Linked DNA regions of Macaca fascicularis. The protein of the gene in region 2 purifies or fractionates together with the protein of the main gene of each other region. This does not show direct contact. Links are inferred from orthologs where the notes say so. Each region holds a gene or a part of one and is shown on either strand. Other genes may lie near its edges.

What was found.
Region 1: the proteins of CTTNBP2NL (region 2) and STRN3 purify together in Homo sapiens (affinity purification with mass spectrometry; 4 studies listed by BioGRID and IntAct, with this or other methods). This does not show direct contact. The link is inferred for Macaca fascicularis from reciprocal best matches to the Homo sapiens genes CTTNBP2NL and STRN3.

Annotation. Positions count from the first base shown.
Region 1 is NC_088381.1:98,726,741-98,736,097, forward strand, and holds part of STRN3 (striatin-3), read right to left. Parts: intron 5,142-9,357; coding exon 5,001-5,141; intron 1-5,000. UniProt on the Homo sapiens protein: Calmodulin-binding scaffolding protein which is the center of the striatin-interacting phosphatase and kinase (STRIPAK) complexes.
Region 2 is NC_088375.1:121,930,488-121,939,844, forward strand, and holds the end of CTTNBP2NL (CTTNBP2 N-terminal-like protein), read right to left. Parts: intron 7,058-9,357; coding exon 6,950-7,057; intron 5,585-6,949; coding exon 4,103-5,584; 3' UTR 363-4,102; downstream 1-362. UniProt on the Homo sapiens protein: Regulates lamellipodial actin dynamics in a CTTN-dependent manner. Associates with core striatin-interacting phosphatase and kinase (STRIPAK) complex to form CTTNBP2NL-STRIPAK complexes.

The DNA.
Region 1 (9,357 bases), on a different chromosome or scaffold from region 2:
ACAGTTACAATATTCAGTAATATAATTAATTTTTATTTTCCCACTTCTACTCAAAAAATCCTGTTACTAAGCAGTGTTAAACAAATGTGTTGGAACTGTGGTGTAGTAACTGTCCACAAATAAAATGTGCACTAGATATATTATTCTGGGGTGGAAGTTGGGGCACAAAAGCTTTGTCTAAATCTCTTATCACTTCAGTACAATTATAACTATAGTTTACATGTTAAATAAGAAATAGGACAAATTTTGATTAAACAATGGAGTTAAATATCAGATTTTTGCTATTCATGGGGGGAAATCTCTACCATGGACCTCAAGGACCTCAAAGTAGTCATACAGTATTTTTTAAATGTTAATAGGTTGTTGCTAAGTCCTTTTGCTTTCTAAAGAAGTACTAGGCATTCTAGTCCCTGATAAAAACTAGTACAAACACTGAAATGTAAATGGTTTACAGTCAGCTATATACTGTATCAGTTCACTAGAATGAAGCTTTAATTGTTCAGATTCCTTCAGTAACAGCAATGGTCTAGGAAAAAGTTCTTCCACCAACAACGTCAGTTTCCTTTCTATAAAGAGGTTAATCCATGTGGACTTCAGAACATCTTCCAGCTTTATTTAATTAATTAATTAATTTATTTATTTACAGAGTCTTGCTCTGTCACCCAGGCTGGAGTACAGTGGTGCGATCTTGGCTCACTGCAACCTCCACCTGCTGAGTTCAAGCAATTCTCCTGTCTTAGCCTCCAAGTAGCTGGGATTACAGGTGCCAGCCATCACGCCCAGCTAATTTTTTTGTTTTTAGGAGAGATAGGCTTTCACCTTGTTGGCCAGAATGGTCTTGAACTCTTGACTTCAAGTGATCCACCCACCTCGGTCTCCCAAAGTGCTGGGATTACAGGCGTGAGCCACCGCGTCCAGCCTGTCTTCCGGCTTTAAAGCTTTGACTATGATTTTTATTTTAATGTCCCATTCTAGTTACCATGACATTCTAAAATGAAGCAACTAATCTTGACCACAGAGTTTTAATTTCTGATCAGATGTGCCATTTCAATTTCAAACTAAACTCAGGTTGAGCTTCACTTAGATTTCTTGACTATATCATGTGCATTATTACAGCTTTTCATGTTAATATTAGCAGTTCGAATTATTTAAAATGTGTTTTCCTTTCTATACATACTATTAACCAATTAAACTCTGCCATAATTGAATAACTATTATCTAAATATTTTGTTGTAACAGTCATAGTTTAAGCAACAACCTTCAATATAATTTCAAATGCTTTGAAAGCAAAAACTTAACATTAAGGTAACAAGGGAGAAATACTCAAATCATTATAATATAAAACTCAATATATTAAAACACACTTAAAATTCATGAGCAAATTTAAAAGGGAAACATTATACAAAAAAAATTAAGCTGTTTGTCAATTTTTTAAAAATTCCCATGAAAAATGATATAAATATGCTACAGGAAACACAAGAGCTGTAATGAAACTTGACAGTCATCACTAATACTACTGGAAATAATTCTGAGAAGATATAATTCATATATGTATACTATGGCAAAATAAAATTCATCTTTATTTAAAACATCTTGTTATTTTATTATTTTATCTATCAAAGTAAGCTATATAATCTGACTCAAATAGGGTTCTAAAATGCAGCTCTGATTCAGTTACTTGATCTAAAATGAATCTGAAAGCACCTGAAAGAAAATATATACATAGAGATCCTAACTAGTATTTAGTTAATCTTTCAATTATGACACTTATGAATCTGAATAATCTGTAGCATTGATCTTTTCCTACAAATTATTAGCATGCAGTTATTGGCAATACCAGAAGCAGCTATCAACTATAAAATCAATAATTTAAACTTATGTTTAAGGATAAGTACATAAAAGTCATTAGATAACATTTACTCAAAGCATTTTTCTCTAGACAAAGAAATATTTTTACTTTAAGCTCATAATTTGTTTCTAAAATGCCACAGTTATTCCCACTCACAATTATACAAACATTCACTGACACAAAGCCCAATAAAATAACTTTAACGTAACAAATCATTTTGCAGGACTATCTCTGATCAGCCACTGACCAATTTAGGAGCATGTGAAGGTTAGTGTCTGGATGTTAGTTTTACTCGCGTTTTGGATTAATTGTACTTAACAAAAAATTAGTATTATACTCATTTCTAATTAATCATATGACCACATTTCTATCCTTTTCTCTATATACACACATATATTTCATGACATATTTATGTAGATATTGCAAACTATTCTGCTTACTCAGTATTTATTTACATATATATGTGTAAAACTTCTTTTACACTATTATCTCTGCTTTCCATATTACCCATCACTGTGGCATATGGTAATCCCAGCAGCTACTCATTTGTTTACCCTTATTTCCCTGCAGATGGAATTAATTTCTATCCTAAAAATTCATTTTATTAATGGTAATATAATTACCCATAGTATAAAAATGTCATTAGTAATTCAAAGAAAAATATAATTATTTTAACCAGCCTAAAAAATTAGTTTTGGTATCTTTTTTTTTTTTTTTTTCTAATAGAGACAGGGTTTTGCTATGTTGCCCAGGCTGGTCTTGAATTCCTGGGCTCAAGTGATCCTCCTGCCTTGGGCTCCCAAAGTGCTGGAATTACAGGCATGAGCTACTATGCCTGGCCTAGTTTTTAATTTAATGATGGAAATTATAAGACATTTTATTAGGAGGCCTAAGAAGGATTTCATCAAGTAATATAACAATACTAGTATAATGGGTCTATAAAATACAAGGTTTTTTTCAGATTTTTATAACTAATCTTCCTTTTGATGGACACTTATCATGAAGAAAACCTGTAGCTCACATACTGAACTCTTTTTCCCAAGAACTTAGTCCAGGTTACAGATTCCATTTATACCAGCGGCAATGTGATATGTCTCAAGTCTTTAGTAACAACAGTCTAGAAGATTGTAATGTTGAAGTACCACTCCTAGAAAACAGACATTGTTCTTTACAAAATGAGGTAGGACATGGACTTCAAAAGTAAAGAAGTAAGTTGGACAGTGCCACTGAAAATAAAGAGATTATGTACTCCAAAGCTGCCTTCTTAGCTTGAAGTCAAACTCACATCTCTTTAAATAACAAATTCTAGTAAGATCGACACTTCAAAAACTGTAATGAAGTTCACACTTATCAAATCTCTCCCCTCGCCCTCCTCCCAGCATCAAGAAACAGATCACTGACCTATATTCTTTCTTTAACACACACACATAACACATAAACAAACACACATAGAGAGCTCTAAGCTGGTTTTTGTGTAGAGTGTGCCTTGATTGGCTTTTACCATAAGTCATTGGTTTGAAACATTTAAAAGGGTTCACACTGCTAACATGGGTTTGCCTTAAACTGCAAAACTTGCAGTTTAAATGTACATTAATTACAAAAATTTTAGCAAGTTGTGCTATGCATATTTGGCAAAACAGACCAAAAATGAAGCAAAATCATCACTAAATGCATTAAAAAAAAAAAATGGAGTTGCTATGTGTAGTTTAGAAAATACTTCTAAAGTAAAACAGGAATATATCTCAATAATGGAAATGAGATCTGAAAAAATTAACAGACACTATTTTATTTTTCATTCTAAAGTAAAACAGGAATATATCTCAATAGTGGAAATGAGATCTGAAAAAATTAACAGACACTATTTTATTTTTCATTCATTTTGCTTTGAATGACTGTTATTTTAGTGATTTTTTTAAGGTGAGTGAAGTAAATGGTAAATTATGAGAGGGAAAAAAATGCAAAATTATTTAACTGTAAGGAAACTGTGCCACTAGGGAAATCTTAAAAGGGAACAAGATGCATTTAAAATTTTTTGACTGGGACATCAAACAAATCCTCTTTACACAGCAAAGGCAATAACATCAATGAAATTTAATATATATGCCAAATTACTGTATCTCGTATGTCACAATAATCTTTGGTTAAAAACTCAGATTCAATACTTATAAACATCTAGACTTAGAGTTATAAATGATTCAAGTATACCTATATATCTTTGGCCAAAATCAATTTTGGAAAAAACGTTTAAGTAGTACTTTCATTTCCTACACATTTCTAGTTTAGGCAAATTTTATAAAATTCATTACTAGGTAGCATATACTTGCTACCAAGTTAAAGAATAATGATATTGCCTTATTCTCAAAGGATTAATTGAGGCAACAGTTACACATATTTTTTAAAGTAATACATATTTAAAGTAACAGGTTGGGCACTGTGGCTAACACCTGTAATCCTAGCACTTTGGGAGCCAAGGTAGGCGGATCACTTGAGGTCAGGAGTTTGAGACCAGCCTGGCCAACATGGTAATATTCTGTCTCTACTAAAAATACAAAAAACTGGCCAGGCATGGTGGCATGCACCTGTAGTCCCAGCTACTTGGGAGGCTGAGGCAGGAGACTCGCTTGACCCCAGGAGGCGAAAGTTGCAGTGAGCTGCACTCCAGCCTGGGCAACAGAGTGAGACTCAGTCTCATGGAAAAAAAAAAAGAAAGAAAGAAAAAAAAAAAAAGGTTCCAAGCACAATGCCTGGCACCACAGTTGTCTTCTAGTAAGTGGTAATTATTATTAGCTGCTAAATTTAAGCAATAAGACAAAATGAGCAGCTTTTTCCATATGTATTATTTTAAGTTTGTTTTTGTAAGTTACTATTTTCCCATTACTGGATCTGTAGTTAAAATTAAAGACTCTGAATTCACCTATGATGGAAACAACTCCTCCTCACATTAAAAATGAAAACAAAATATGAAGAAATAGAAGCCAGAAATGTCAAAATCCCTAAATTAATTACATCAAGAGCTTGCCCAACACCTTCTCTAAAGATCATATAAAATGATCATCAACATTTTAAACAGTAGCCTAGTTGCAATATTAAGATGTGATTTGGATTTAAGGTCTTCTGAAATGTAAATAAACATGGTAGCTAAATTCTGTACCTTCCTCTGCTCTTGCACCTTCATGATCAGTCATTCTAGTAGAGGCTGACCTAGACTGATTAATGATTCCTGAAGGGATGTGGGGCAGCTCATCATCTCCCAGATCAGCTATCATGTCGTAGAGTTTTGTCCTGTTGGCCCCTGTAAATTAATGTCAGCAGTAGAGGTTCATTTAATGGCTACCGCTTGACTTGCCAGCAGCGTCTAAAACCAGTTCATTAACAAAACAGACTATTAAGAAGTCTCAGTTATTAAAATATCAGAAAATTAAAGATGTCTTCCATTTTCTATACCATCCCCCAAAACACATTGAGTTTAAATATTTATTATTTCTGTGGAGAGAGAGAGAGATATATATAAAGATACATATATGTATTACATATATCTCTCTCTCTAAAGATATATATATATCTCCATAGAATACTTTAGAGACAGTTCTTTACAGTTCTGTAAACTCACAGACACAGAAGGTATCATTAAAACAAAGGAAAATTTTGGTGTTTAAGGTTAACATTTACCAGTATAAAGAATAAAATAAGGGCTTTTCAACATAATTCACTGTTTAAAAAAGTTAACAAAGGAATAAGTACAAATAATTTTTATGAGGGTGCAACAAACGATTAACTTTACCTGGTGTTTCCATGGATATTTTCCTGCCATGTTAGTACAAATTTGTCATTAACAAATCATCCCCAATTTCTTCCAAAATGTTTTTCTCATTTTTCCCAAATCTGAAAAACCTGATTTATCCATGAGATAGATCTCTGAGTTTCTCATGATATGAAAGTCAGCACTGTCATAAGCCACAAATGTAAGGGAAGAATTTTGGCTGTTGCCTGGATAATTCAGGCCAAAACATATAAAACTCAAAAGCTTCTGTAGTATTGTAGAATATTCTTTAACTCTGAACTTTAGAAATAGCAGAATTATTTATTTTGAACCATATATTTTGAAAGAAAACAAGTTTTAAGAATGTCAGAAAAAAATACTTTGAAAAGACAATGCTTTATAATCTACATAAGTTTAAAAAAATAAAATAGGTAAGTCCAAGGTCAAACATTATAACCTTATATTTACTAACGTCATCATTAATGGATGTTAAGTTCACTGTGGCTATTTGAGTGTAAGTAACTCTAAGAACTATTACCCATCTATGTATCCTTAACAAAATACCAGACAATTAGATGGTAAAATTTAGTGGAAATAGGTGGACTTTTAAACATTTATTGGTCCTATTTTACAGTAATTCCTAATTTCTTAGAAATGCTTAAACAACTCTACTTCTGGATTAGGTAATATGTTATGTAGTCTGAATTTCCTAACTAATAATAATGAAGAAACTCAGTGTTACCTGAGGATTTTCCCCCACAGAGAAATGACTGTAAACAAATTCTCCAATAAACAAAAAACTGTCTACTAGATATCCAACCACCAGTTAAATTCAATGTAAAAGAACATAAACATTATTCTTTCTCAAAAATAGCTCCCATTTGTATCTTTCCCACTTGTATGACTACCACCATCCTTTATTTAATTTCGCTTCTTAAAAATCTGCAACCATATCTTAATTCTTCTTCAACTTGTAAAATTATAAAAGGGTGGGGGCTTTTTTAAAAAAAGAATCTTCCTTTAAAGTATTCTCCAAGTTTATCTCTCTATTGACTTTAATCAAGGCTTTCAACCTTATGAATTACTATAACAGACTCCTAATCGGTTCTTCTATCTCTGAGCTCCATTTACCTTCAATCACATTAATACACTACAACTAATTTTCCAAAATTATTACATTTATTATATCTCCCCTCACTGAGAAACCACAAGTAGCACTTCAACACTCTGGATCAAAGTTAACTAAAATCATGTACTTAACCTTTCATCATGTGCTTTATGATCTGATCCTATTTTTTCTACCCCATCTTATCTTTTAATGATCCACAATACAAACTCCCTCCATTTTCCAGTCAAAGCAGTTTCCATATGTAGTTTCAGTGTTCACTGAGTTTACTTCTGCCATATTTTGTCATATTTGTCCTCACCCATTCTCAGAAAGGTGAGAATGCTTTCTACACACACACACACACACACACACACACACACACACTTTCTAATCTTCTAACATGCACCTCAGCCTATCTAAATTCTACCCATTCCTCCACACCAGTTTCATCTCTTCTGTAAAGCTTTTGTTGATCTTTCAATGTTCTCTTATTTGTGTGTAACATAAAATGACTTTATTAAATACTACCTTGTAAATAATTTCATTATATGATAGTTAATGTGAAACATAATAAAGCCTTGACAAAGTTTTGTTACAGATTATGTAAAGTCAAAATCTTCCTGTACACATGAACTGGAAGTTACAGAAGGGAAAGAAATTAGGAGCTATTATGGAAGCTACTGTTCAAACTGAGGATCCCAAATTATATAATATTATTTACATACTATAGCCAGATAGTTTCAGTGTGACACGGTGCCAAGTTGAGGAAATGATGAAACTTCCCTGCTCTAATCCTAGTTTCTCAAACGCTGCCAAAAGATGACAGCAGATTTCACAATTTAGTCTTTACTCTATTGTGTAGAGCATCTTTCAACTGCAAATTTAATGTCTTCATTTTCTTTCTAAATCTATCCAATATTCTAAATATAATAAACGCAACAAAACAATTTCAAATAAAAAATGTGATGTCTTATCAGCAATGAGAAAACTGTAGGGGTATAACAGGATACTAGACAATATTAATATCAATATTTAAAGGCATATTTGAAGGCCCATTAAGCACTAATTAAACAAAAACTGAAATTTATAGAAGTACAAATACTTTTTCTAATTCTTACAGCAAGAAAAACTTTTATTTTTTAATTTTTATTATTATTTTTGAAACAAGGTCTTGCCCTGTCACCCAGGCTAGAATGCAGTGACACAAACACGGCTCTCTACAGCCTTGATCTCCTTGGCTCTTGACCTCCCGGACTCAAGTGATCCTTCCACCTCAGCCTGCCCAGTAGCTGGGACCACAGGCACGTACCACCAAGCTTGGCTAATTTAAAAAATTTTTTTTATAGAGACAGGGTCTTACCATGTTGTCGAGGCTGGTCTTGAACTCTTAGACTCAGGCAATCCTCCTACCTCGGTCTCCAGAGTAGCTGGGACCACAGTCATGTACTACCACACTCAGCTAATTTTCGTATTTTTTATTTTTGTAGAGATGGTCTCACCATGCTGCCTAGCCTGGTATTGGCTGCTGGGGTAAAGCAATCCTCTCTCCTAAGCATCCCAAAGTGCTAGGATTGCAGGTATGAGCCATGGTGCCCAGCTAGAAAAACTTTTCTACTACTGTGAAAACAACCCACCTATTTCTTAACAAATAGAAAGTCCTATATAAATGCATAATCCTCTAAACGGACTGACACAATGAAAAATATACTAATTATGCCACGTGTAAGCCAAACTATAGACTACTGTTACGTTTTCAAATTCCACTCTAACATGTACACGCTCATGCCATGAAATTTATCTTCCTATGCTATCACTGTAAGTAAAATAGTACTTTTGAATAAATCTAACATTTTCCCTTTCTCAAATAAGCCCTCCCTTTGTTGATCAACTTTTATATTCTGAAGCAAAACTGTTAGGAGACAAACAATCTGGAAAAGATAAGCTTATTTAGTTAAGTAATGTTTGCTAGATCTGTTCTATTTTCTATAATTAAAGCTTTCACACAACTGTTGTCTTAAATAAATACGAGATCACAATAATAAGAAAAAATAACTTCAGCTGCAAAGTGACTCTTCAGTTTTAAAAAGTGCACTGATTAAAGAGTATCAATCTGATACATTCTGATCCTAGGCAAAACACCTAAGTTATTTTCTTGAAAGAAAAAAATCCCGAGTTAAAGGACATGAATAGTTTGTTTTTAAAGAGTGAAATCGGCCCGGCGCGGTGGCTCAAGCCTGTAATCCCAGCACTTTGGGAGGCCGAGATGGGCGGATCACGAGGTCAGGAGATCGAGATCATTCTGGCTAACACGGTGAAACCCCGTCTCTACTAAAAAATACAAAAAAACTAGCCGGGCGAGGTGTCGGGCGCCTGTAGTCCCAGCTACTCGGGAGGCTGAGGCAGGAGAATGGCGTGAACCCGGGAGGCGGAGCTTGCAGTGAGCCGAGATCCGGCCAGTGCACTCCAGCCTGGGCGACAGAGCGAGACTCCGTCTCAAAAAAAAAAAAAAAAAGAATGAGATTAAAGTCAGAAACATAAAACCACATGCCTAGTTGAAAATAACATCTCTTTTCTATGAAACAATTTTGTTTTTGTCTTTGAGGGAGGAGAGAGAATATAACTATTCTGTGAGCTCTTCGA
Region 2 (9,357 bases):
CCCTACCCTCAACTACCTCATCACTACACTAGAGATAATAACACCACACAGCACCCGTGTGAGGATTAATAAGGTAATATGTATGTGAAATCATTAGCATGGTGCTTGGTACTCATATGTAGGCACCCTTGACTCTGAATATCACTGACATTCTGCCAAACCAGTTTCAGGAGCTTAAGACATTTCCTTGGGTCAGAGGCAAATAGCAAGTTGTTGTGAAAGAACAGGTAAGGGCTACGAAGGACTGTTGCTCAAAACAGACTAGCTGCATCAGCTAGTCAGAGGATCCAATCTCCAGAAATCTTTATTTTACCTGGCTTCCCAGGTTATAGTAACACACAGTAAAGTTTGAGAACCACTACTCCAGTCTCCTTTCTCCTCCTTTATTTTTACTAATGAATTGGCCATTGATATACAAATAGTGGGTAGACAGGCTCTCATTTCTCAACTAGTTTGATAGAAATTAAATTAAAAATTATTCCTGTGGAACAATGCTCACTGCCTACTTCTGATTCATTAGGAAAACACATCCTATTTTGAAGCCAGCGTTTCGAAAGACATTTGAAGTTCCATTTCAAGGACTACGCATCAGAAGCACTCCTTATGAATTCACACACACAGACACACACACACGCACACAAACTGACAAGGCAGCACTGCTGACAGGCTATTAAGGGAAACTGGCTATAGCTAGTATTTGTTGAAATGATCATTAATTGGCTTAAATGCTGGCAACATCAGATATGTAAACATCCACACTGTTTGAACATTTTTTGTACATCAAAGGATTTTCAAGTGCTTCTGTCTGGCTTGCATTTGCTAACATTGCAGCAGCAACAGCACTGGAGTAGTTGAAAAGGGTTGCATTAATCATTTGTAAAATGAGAGGGCAGAACAAGACTATGCTTTCTTAAGCAGGAATACATGAGCCATGGATGGCTTCAGGGTCTCTGGATCCTATGAAGCCATCAAACAAATTTTGCATATAGGCATATTCATTTTTCTAGGGATAAACTTTACATCTTTTCTAAGATTCTCAAAAAGGTCCAGAACCACCAAATGGTTTAAAAAATCACAGACTGGATTATTGTAAAGGCTTTTTCCAGCTCTAAGACTCTAAAGAAAATCAATGTTTTAGTTCCTTAGGGAGTCTAACCTGGATGGGTCATTGACTTCATTTGGTTTGTCAAAGCCACAGTCAAGTGCTCCCTCTATACCACCCCCTCTTCCCAACAAAATATGCCCAAATTGTGCCATTTTTCACTTTGTACAAACAAGACTATTTTCCCCCCAAACAGCATGATTTAACTTGTTTTAATGTAGTCTGTTATAAAAATGAAGACTTCTGCATGGTGTATTTGGCTTTACAAACGTTAATGCCTAGTTAATGCTTGTGTTATATGGTACACATCATTACAATCTGTTGGCCGGTAACAGCTTTTGCAACATGGGTTAATACTAAAATTGTGAATCATGGAACTTTTACTTAGCACACACACACAATCTACAGCAAACTTAAATACTAATCTATAATACCTAACTGGGTTATTGGATCCATTGCAAGATTGTGCTTATTTATCTCAGAAGATAGGCAACTAGCAAAAATACACATTTCTTTTGCATATCCCCACCCCCATATTACACTGTAAAAGAAATGCATTATTCAGTGCACTTCCTAAGAAATAAACTTCCTTATAGTATCTCTCTCTATATATATCTATCCCCAAACAAAGGAAGAGCACAATGCAACTTTTAAGATTACCATTTAAAGCAAAAGAGACAATAACTCTCTGGCACTGTAGCCTCCTCTCCAGTTTAGAAAGTTTAACTATTTTATCAACACTATTGGCTCTGCATAGGAATAAAGTTCAATGCATGATTGTTTTGGACAGTTTAAGATACCCCCTACATCATTTTGATAGACACCTTGGGGCATTAGTAGCATTTTCATTTTTCACGTATTTGCCTTTATCAAACTATAAGCTGTGGAGTCGCCAATATACTCCATTGTGATTTATACACTGATTTCCATCACCTGCCTTTTTACTATCAACTCTTATTAGACTAAAAGGAAATAGACTTAAATTATAGCAGGAGGTCAGGGCTGCTGGATAGATGTTGGCTAGGAGAATGTATGTGAGGACACCAAGGCCTCCCCTGTATGGACACAAAATCCATATAACTACTGTGTCTGAGCTGGGTTGTGGATAGTCTTATTTGGCAGAGGGGGATAGTCATTATATTCTATGAACCTTGCCAGCTGTACTGGCCTACACAGTTGGAAAATTTGGAGGCTTTTGTCCACATAGATTTGCTATGATGAAAATGACAGAAGTTTCTAGAATGAAAGAGGTTGCAACTTGGCAGCTTGCAACCTAAATCCAGCTGCAGAAGTGTTTGTTTAACCAGCACTATTTAAACATTTTAAAATCAGTTCTTGATATTTAAAAATGAGAATATTTCTCATGAAAATCTGGATTTCAAAAAATGTGAAGAACTGGTTATCCTGGTTTAGCATTCTTGCATGGCAGCAAGCAGATGGAGCTGAACAGATGCCTTTTTTAAATGGGGCTTGGGCACTTCAGTTTGCCACAGCTCCCACTACTCCCAGCTGTTTTACACCACTTGAGAGGCCTGTTTCACTCATTTATATGACCAGTTGAGTTTTGTGACACTGGGGCTAGTTTAGTTCTGCCTATTTATTTTTTTTAATAGAGATGGGGTCTCGCTATGTTGATGAGGCTGGTCTTGAACACCTGGTCTCAAGCGATCCTCCCATCTCAGCCTCCCAAAGTGATAGGATTACAGGCATGAGCCACTGTGCCTGGCCAGCTCTGCCTTTTTATGATACTGAAGATCTGGGCTTCATTTGGATTTTCCCCACCATCCTGTGGACAAAACTCCTCCTTTGATTGCGTCCCAGCCACATCTAGTTGCTTTGGTAGGTAATCTTAATGTGCAGTTCTACTTGTCCTTTATGCTATATTGCAAACTCCAAAGATATAATCACACTAATATTTATGTGTTTAAGTGTGTGTATGTTAAACATGTAAAGGGGTAATGTTTCTGTACAGATCTATGTATACTTCCCATTTAAGCAAAAGTTAATTTGGTTTTAGAGATACAGATACCAGGTTGTGGCAGCTTGGAGAATAAGTGTAACAATTTGGTAAAACTTGTATAATTCTGACTTATAATATTACAAAGAGTGAATTTCAAGTTATTGCTTTTTGATTACAGAATAAAAATTTCATTCTGTTGCAAAACTTTTATACAGAATGAGTAACCATTTCCTATTCAAGTAACAGCAATCAGAATCAGAAGTTCCTTACACAACAGTAGATGTCTGAGACATTTTTTGAATGGAGATGTGATTTCATTCTGTTCAAGAACTTATGCAAGAAACTGGGGGTGACTCAATTTTTCAAAAGTACAAGAAAATCAGCACCCCAACTGATTTTCTCAGGAGGGTTTCTCAAGGGCTCTATAAAGCTCAGCTTGTGGTGAGTTCACACCCACCTTTAGAAGGATTCCCATTCTACGTATGCAGCCTTGTTTCAGAACACAAAGCTTGTATTAAAACATTAAAAGAGAATCAAAAGCAGTGTTGGTTTTTAACATTCAAAATTCGCAGAGGATGTCATTTTCTGCAATTAAATGATCCATTTTGTGTTTTTTGCTGCAGAATCACATTCATATGGCAGTCATATTTCAGGCACTTTTAAAACATGTTCATCTGGAATAAAAATCTGCATGAACCACTTCTGCATAATTCAAAATGAGTGTTGAGTGATTTTAGTTCCCAAATAGATACCAAATCACCACCTGGTGATTTGCTTTCTTCATCACAACATGACGGTGACTGCTGAGCTTGAGACATCTTTGAGGTGCCTTTCTGGCTTCAGTAAAAAGATGTGAGCCATAAAAATCCAAACTACTCAGTTTCTACTTAAAAAATACAAAATGGTGAAATACACTAAATGTATTATACAGATGGTTTCAGTTACTATCAAAATAAATAACGTAATCTGACTCAAAAGTCTGACTGAGCTCTTGGACGAAATCTGATGGAATGTCAAACGTGGAGACTCCCTCCTAGGGACTAGCTGCTGGTAGGCAAAAGTAACTCAACATCCTTACCATTTGCTACAACAGTATTGGAAGAGCAGCTGCTGGCAAGGTCTTCTGTGGTGGTCAAAGAGGCTGCCTGGGAATGAGTTTTGGTCAGTGGAGTGGTAGCAGATGGAGAAGGGGTGAGGCCAGGTTTTTTGGGTGGGATGGGTGGAGGGTTTCCTCTCTCAGCTCTGGGGATGGTTGGGGACTTGATTCCTGGAGACAGGGGGCTCAGGGGACTGGACACTTTCCCTGGAGTAGGTGAATGGCTTGTGTCACCTCTTGCATTGGCAGTATTGGCCAGATTTCGATAGTCTGTGCCAAAGGGAGAGCTGTTGGGAGAGACTGGCTTGATTGGCCCTTGTTGGCTAGTGAATCTGGAGAGCACCTGAGTGACTGTGTTTCGGGCCAGCTGCTTGGCGGCAGAGTTGTCTATGAGGGTGGGGGATAAATCCCTGGACGGAGGGCTTTGTAGGCCACTGGCTTGTTGCTCCTGATCTGCTTGGGACTGAAATTTGTGCCGAGCTGCATGGAACCGTTGGTTGATCCCTACTTGGTAGGATGATTGGTAGCCAGGGCTGCTAGCTGATGACCCCAATAAACGCTTAGTGAGTACCGGTGAAGAGCAAGGAGAGGATGTTAGAGAGGAGGAGGCAGTGCTGCTGGGAGACAGTGAGCTCCCACTGGAAGGGAGTGGACTGGGTATTGGGACTGGAGTCTCAATCCCCACAGGACACCCACCATTCTCCACTGGTTTCTCTTGGGCCAGTGCCACAGATTTTTCCCGTGGAGGCACTTGGTTTTCTACATTGTTGCCTGTAGTCAGCTCCCTGGTAGTTTGTATCTCTGGGTCACAATGGCCATTGGTTTTTGCATATGAGTAAGCAGGAGTGGCAGGACCAGGCAGCCCAGTGTTTGTCATCTTGGCTATGTTGCTCCCATGGGTTCTTTCTGCTGGAAAACTCTCTGTTTGGCAAAACACAGACATTAGCATGAGAGGCTCAGTTGCTGTGCCTTTGGACACAGTTACTGGTTTCTTCAATTGCTCATTAGGGCTACTGTGCTGGTGGGAAGCCTCTAGGTCCTTCACTATCTTCTTTAAGCTTTCCATTTCTTCTTTCAGAGTTTTGGTCCGGTTCTCTTCTCGGTTCAGTTTTGCTCTCAGTTGTTCCCTTTCGATGTCAAACTCTGACAACTGCTTCTCTACCTGGGCCTCAGTCTGCAAGCCTCTCTTTCTCTCAGCTGCCAACTCTTCTTCCAGCTTACTCACCCGGCTCTTCTCCTTCTCCAATTTCAGGCTCAGCTCTCCTGCCTTCTGTCCTTCCTCGGCTGCCTTGTTGGTGGCTTTCTTGCACTCAAGCACAAGCATGGATGAGAGCTGCTTGTGGCGGGAGCGCTCCTCTTCCAGCTGACTAGAGAGCTTCTTCTGTTCTTTTTCAAACTTTTTCACTTGGGATTTTTCAAATTCCAACTAGAAAAAAAGAAAAGAGAGATATACTGAAAAACTATGATCAAGGAGAGTGTCTTTGTTAGCTGTTCTCTGGTATACAGGATTAACATGCATATCACAGTGCTTAGATCAAGTATTTCTGAAGTTTTAGAACACCTAACAAAAAATGCACACACTATGATTTAATCTTTCTTTGATGATTTGGGAGGCACTTCTAGTTCCTGTACTGTCTTGGAGTGATTAGTGGGAATATGATGTATCTTTGCGTTTCATGTATGTGCAGAGCATCAGAACCAATCAAAACAAGATAACAGAAAGCTGTATCAACCACATTTTGTGATGAATGTTGCTGAAAACAAACCTTTTAAAGTTTCAGCAATAATTTTCTTGGGTCTTAGAAACAAACAAACACAAACAGTTGCATTTGAATCATACTTTTTTTTTGAGACTGAGTTTTGCTCTTGTCTCCCAGGCTGGAGTGCAATGGCGCAATATTGACTCACCGCAACCTCCGCCCGTGGGTTCAAGCGATTCTCCTGCCTCAGCCTCCCAAGTAGCTGGGATCAGTCACGCGCCACCACACCCGGCTAATTTGGTATCTTTAGTAGAGATGGGGTTTTTCCATGTTGGTCAGGCTGGTCTCAAACTCCTGACCTCAGGTGATCCGCCCTCCTCGGCCTCCAAAAGTGCTGGGATTACAGGCGTGAACCACTGTGCCCAGCCTGAATCATATTTTTTACACAAATATAGTCTGTTTTAATTGTCTTCCCAACCCTATTTGAGGCAGAGATTCTCTGTGAGAAGGTAAGGGTTGAAGAAACTCAGTGTTTTTCAAACTCTGAGATCCATTAACAGATGGGGAAACAAATTGAGCCATGACTAGAATTTTAAAAAAATATATAAATAGAAAACATCAATGTGTACTGAAGCAGTAGGGGTTATATATCATTTCATGAGATTTTTGTTTCACGCATAACTGTGTGTGTCTATATATACTGGGTTGTGAATAAAATATCATTTCTTACTGGGGGTTTTAAGTCAAAAGATTGAGAGCTACAAGCCGTAAGTTACCATTCCCCAAAGAGTGTTCTATGGAACAATAGTCCCACAGTGAGGGATCTATGCCAATAAAAGATTTTCTAAAACCATGGATTTTCTAAACACAGAATACCCTATCTTGTTCTTCAAGACTCACAATGTGCTTCTGCATACTAAAGATCCTAACTAAGTTAGAAACCTGTTTAACTTTGGTTAATCCAGTAGTTCCTAAACTTATTTGACCACAAAGCCCCTTTTTTGAACAATACCAATTGGCATCCTGCAAAATAATCTTTGGGAAATGCGATTCCAGGCAAATGCTACTGTGAATCCCTCTACCTTAATTACCTGTTGAGTCAGCCTCTCTCTTTCCTTCTCTAGCATGTAGGTGACATCATCTCCTTCAGCTGTATCCTGTGCATGCCGCTGCCTTTCTTCCTCAAGGTCTAGGATCACCTTTAAAGAATTTTAAAAATTTCATTTCCAAATATCAAGGAGTCACATTTATTAATACAACCAATACTAAGTGCCAAATCAGGCACCTAAGATAGTTCCAGAGATCAAACAAATGAATAAATGAAACCCAGCAAGGGCTATCAAGGAGCACACTGACTTACAGTGAAAGACATGAAAGCTCTGCGTTTAACAGTAAGATATTTACTTTACTTGAAGTATGCAGAGAATGATATGCAAACAGAGAGAAGAGAGCAACTAATTAGCTAGAGGGGTTGAGGAGGTTTCGAGAAATAACGGCAATTCCAAGAAACTGCAGGCAGTTTGGTGTTACTGGGGGCCAGGTGCAGGTGATGGAGCAAGACAGGATCACAGAAACCTGAAAGCTGAGATTTTCCTCTCAATGCTCAAATCACCGGAGGCACCAAAGAAGGAGCCTGAAATTCAACATTTCAAATAGGTGACATTCTAAGTGTGCCTTGTTTAACTAATAATATACCTTTTTATATAGTTAGGTAAGAGGTGAAAAGACTCTCTTGACTTCCTACTGCATGAAAAAAGGCTCAATTATACAGATCTTAAATGGAGATTTTTCATAAGGCCTTTTATTTAACCTGCCTACCCCTATTCCACTTATCCTGGTGCCAAAGGATTAAGCCCAATTTTAAGGAGAAGACAAATATATTTATTTTTCGAGACAGGGTTTTTGCTCTGTCACCCAGGCTGGACTGCAGTCGTGCAATCACGGCTCACTGCTGCCTCAGCCTCCTAAGCTCAAGCAATTCTCTCACCTCTCAGCCTCCCGAGTAGCTGGGACTACAGGTGTGCACCACCACGCCCAGCTAATTTTAGTATTTTTTGTAGAGATGGGGTTTTCCCATCTTGCCCAGGCTGGTCTTGAACTCCCGGGCTCAAGTGATCCACCCGCCTCAGCCTCCCAAAATGCTGGGATTACAGGTGTGAGCCATCACACATGGCCGAGAATATCAATTTAAGGCGACATTTTTCACATAATCCCATCTACAACTGCAAATACTCTGATTGCTTAGTAGCTTCTGCTCATGCTTCAGAAGTGCCGTGGCCCAGACCTCCAGGGTAGAGCACTCTTGTCCCAAAGGCCATTTCTTAGTCTTCTCACTAAAAATTTTTATGAGTGAAGACAGAAAATTTTCTGGGACATGAAACCGCCCTATAAAAATACAAATGAGCTCATGCCTGTAATCCCAGTACTTTTGGGAGGCAGAGGTAGGAGGATCGCTTGAGCCCAGGAGTTGAAGACCAGCCATTTCTTTCTCCCCTTTCCCCTTTCTCTCTCCTTCCTTCTCTTCTCTTCTCTTTTCTTTTTGGGGAGACAGGGTCTTACTCTCACCGAAGCTGGAATGCATTGGCGTCATGTCGGCTCACTGCAACCTTTGCCTCCTAGGCTCAAGTGATCCTCCCACCTCAGCCTCCCGAGCAGCTGGGACTACAGGCATACACCACTATGGCCTGCTGATTTTTTGTAGATAGGGTGTCGCCATGTTGCCCAGGCTGGTCTCAAACACCTGGACTCAAGTGCTTCTTCTGCCTCAGCTTCCCAAAGTGATGGGATTACAGATGTGACCCACTGTGCCCAACCCAAAACCCTATTTCTACAAAAAAATAAAAAATTAGTTAGGCATGGTGAGGTGTGCATGTAGTCCCAGTTACTCAGGAGGCTGAGGTGGGAGGATCACCTCAGCCCAGGGAGGTCGAGGTTAGTAAGTTATGATTATGCCGTTGCACTCCAGCCCAGGCAACAGGGCAACAGAGTGAGACTTTGTCTCAAAAAAAAAAAAAAAAAAAAAAAAAAAAAAAAAAAAAAGGCTGGGCACAGTGGCTCATGCCTGTAATCCCAGCACTTTGGGAGGCCAAAGCGGGTGGATCACCTGAGGTTGGGAGTTTGGGACCAGCCTGACTAACATGGATAAACCCCATCTCTACTAAAAATATAAAATTAGCCAGGCGTGGTGGCACATGCCTGTAATCCCAGCTACTCAGGAGGCTGAGGCAGGAGAATCGCTTGAACCCAGTAGGCCGAGGTTGCGGTGAGCCAAGATTGTGCCATTGCACTCTAGCCTGGATAACAAGAGTGAAACTCTATCTCAAAAAAAAAAAAAAAAAAGAGTGACTGGTGCTGTGGTATGTGCTTGTAGTCCCAGATACTTGGGACCTGAGGTGGATCACTTGAGCCCAAGAGTTCCAGGATATAGGGTGCTATGATCGCACCTGTTAATAGCCACTGTACTCCAGCCCAAGCAAGATAGCAAGACCCTGTCTCTCAA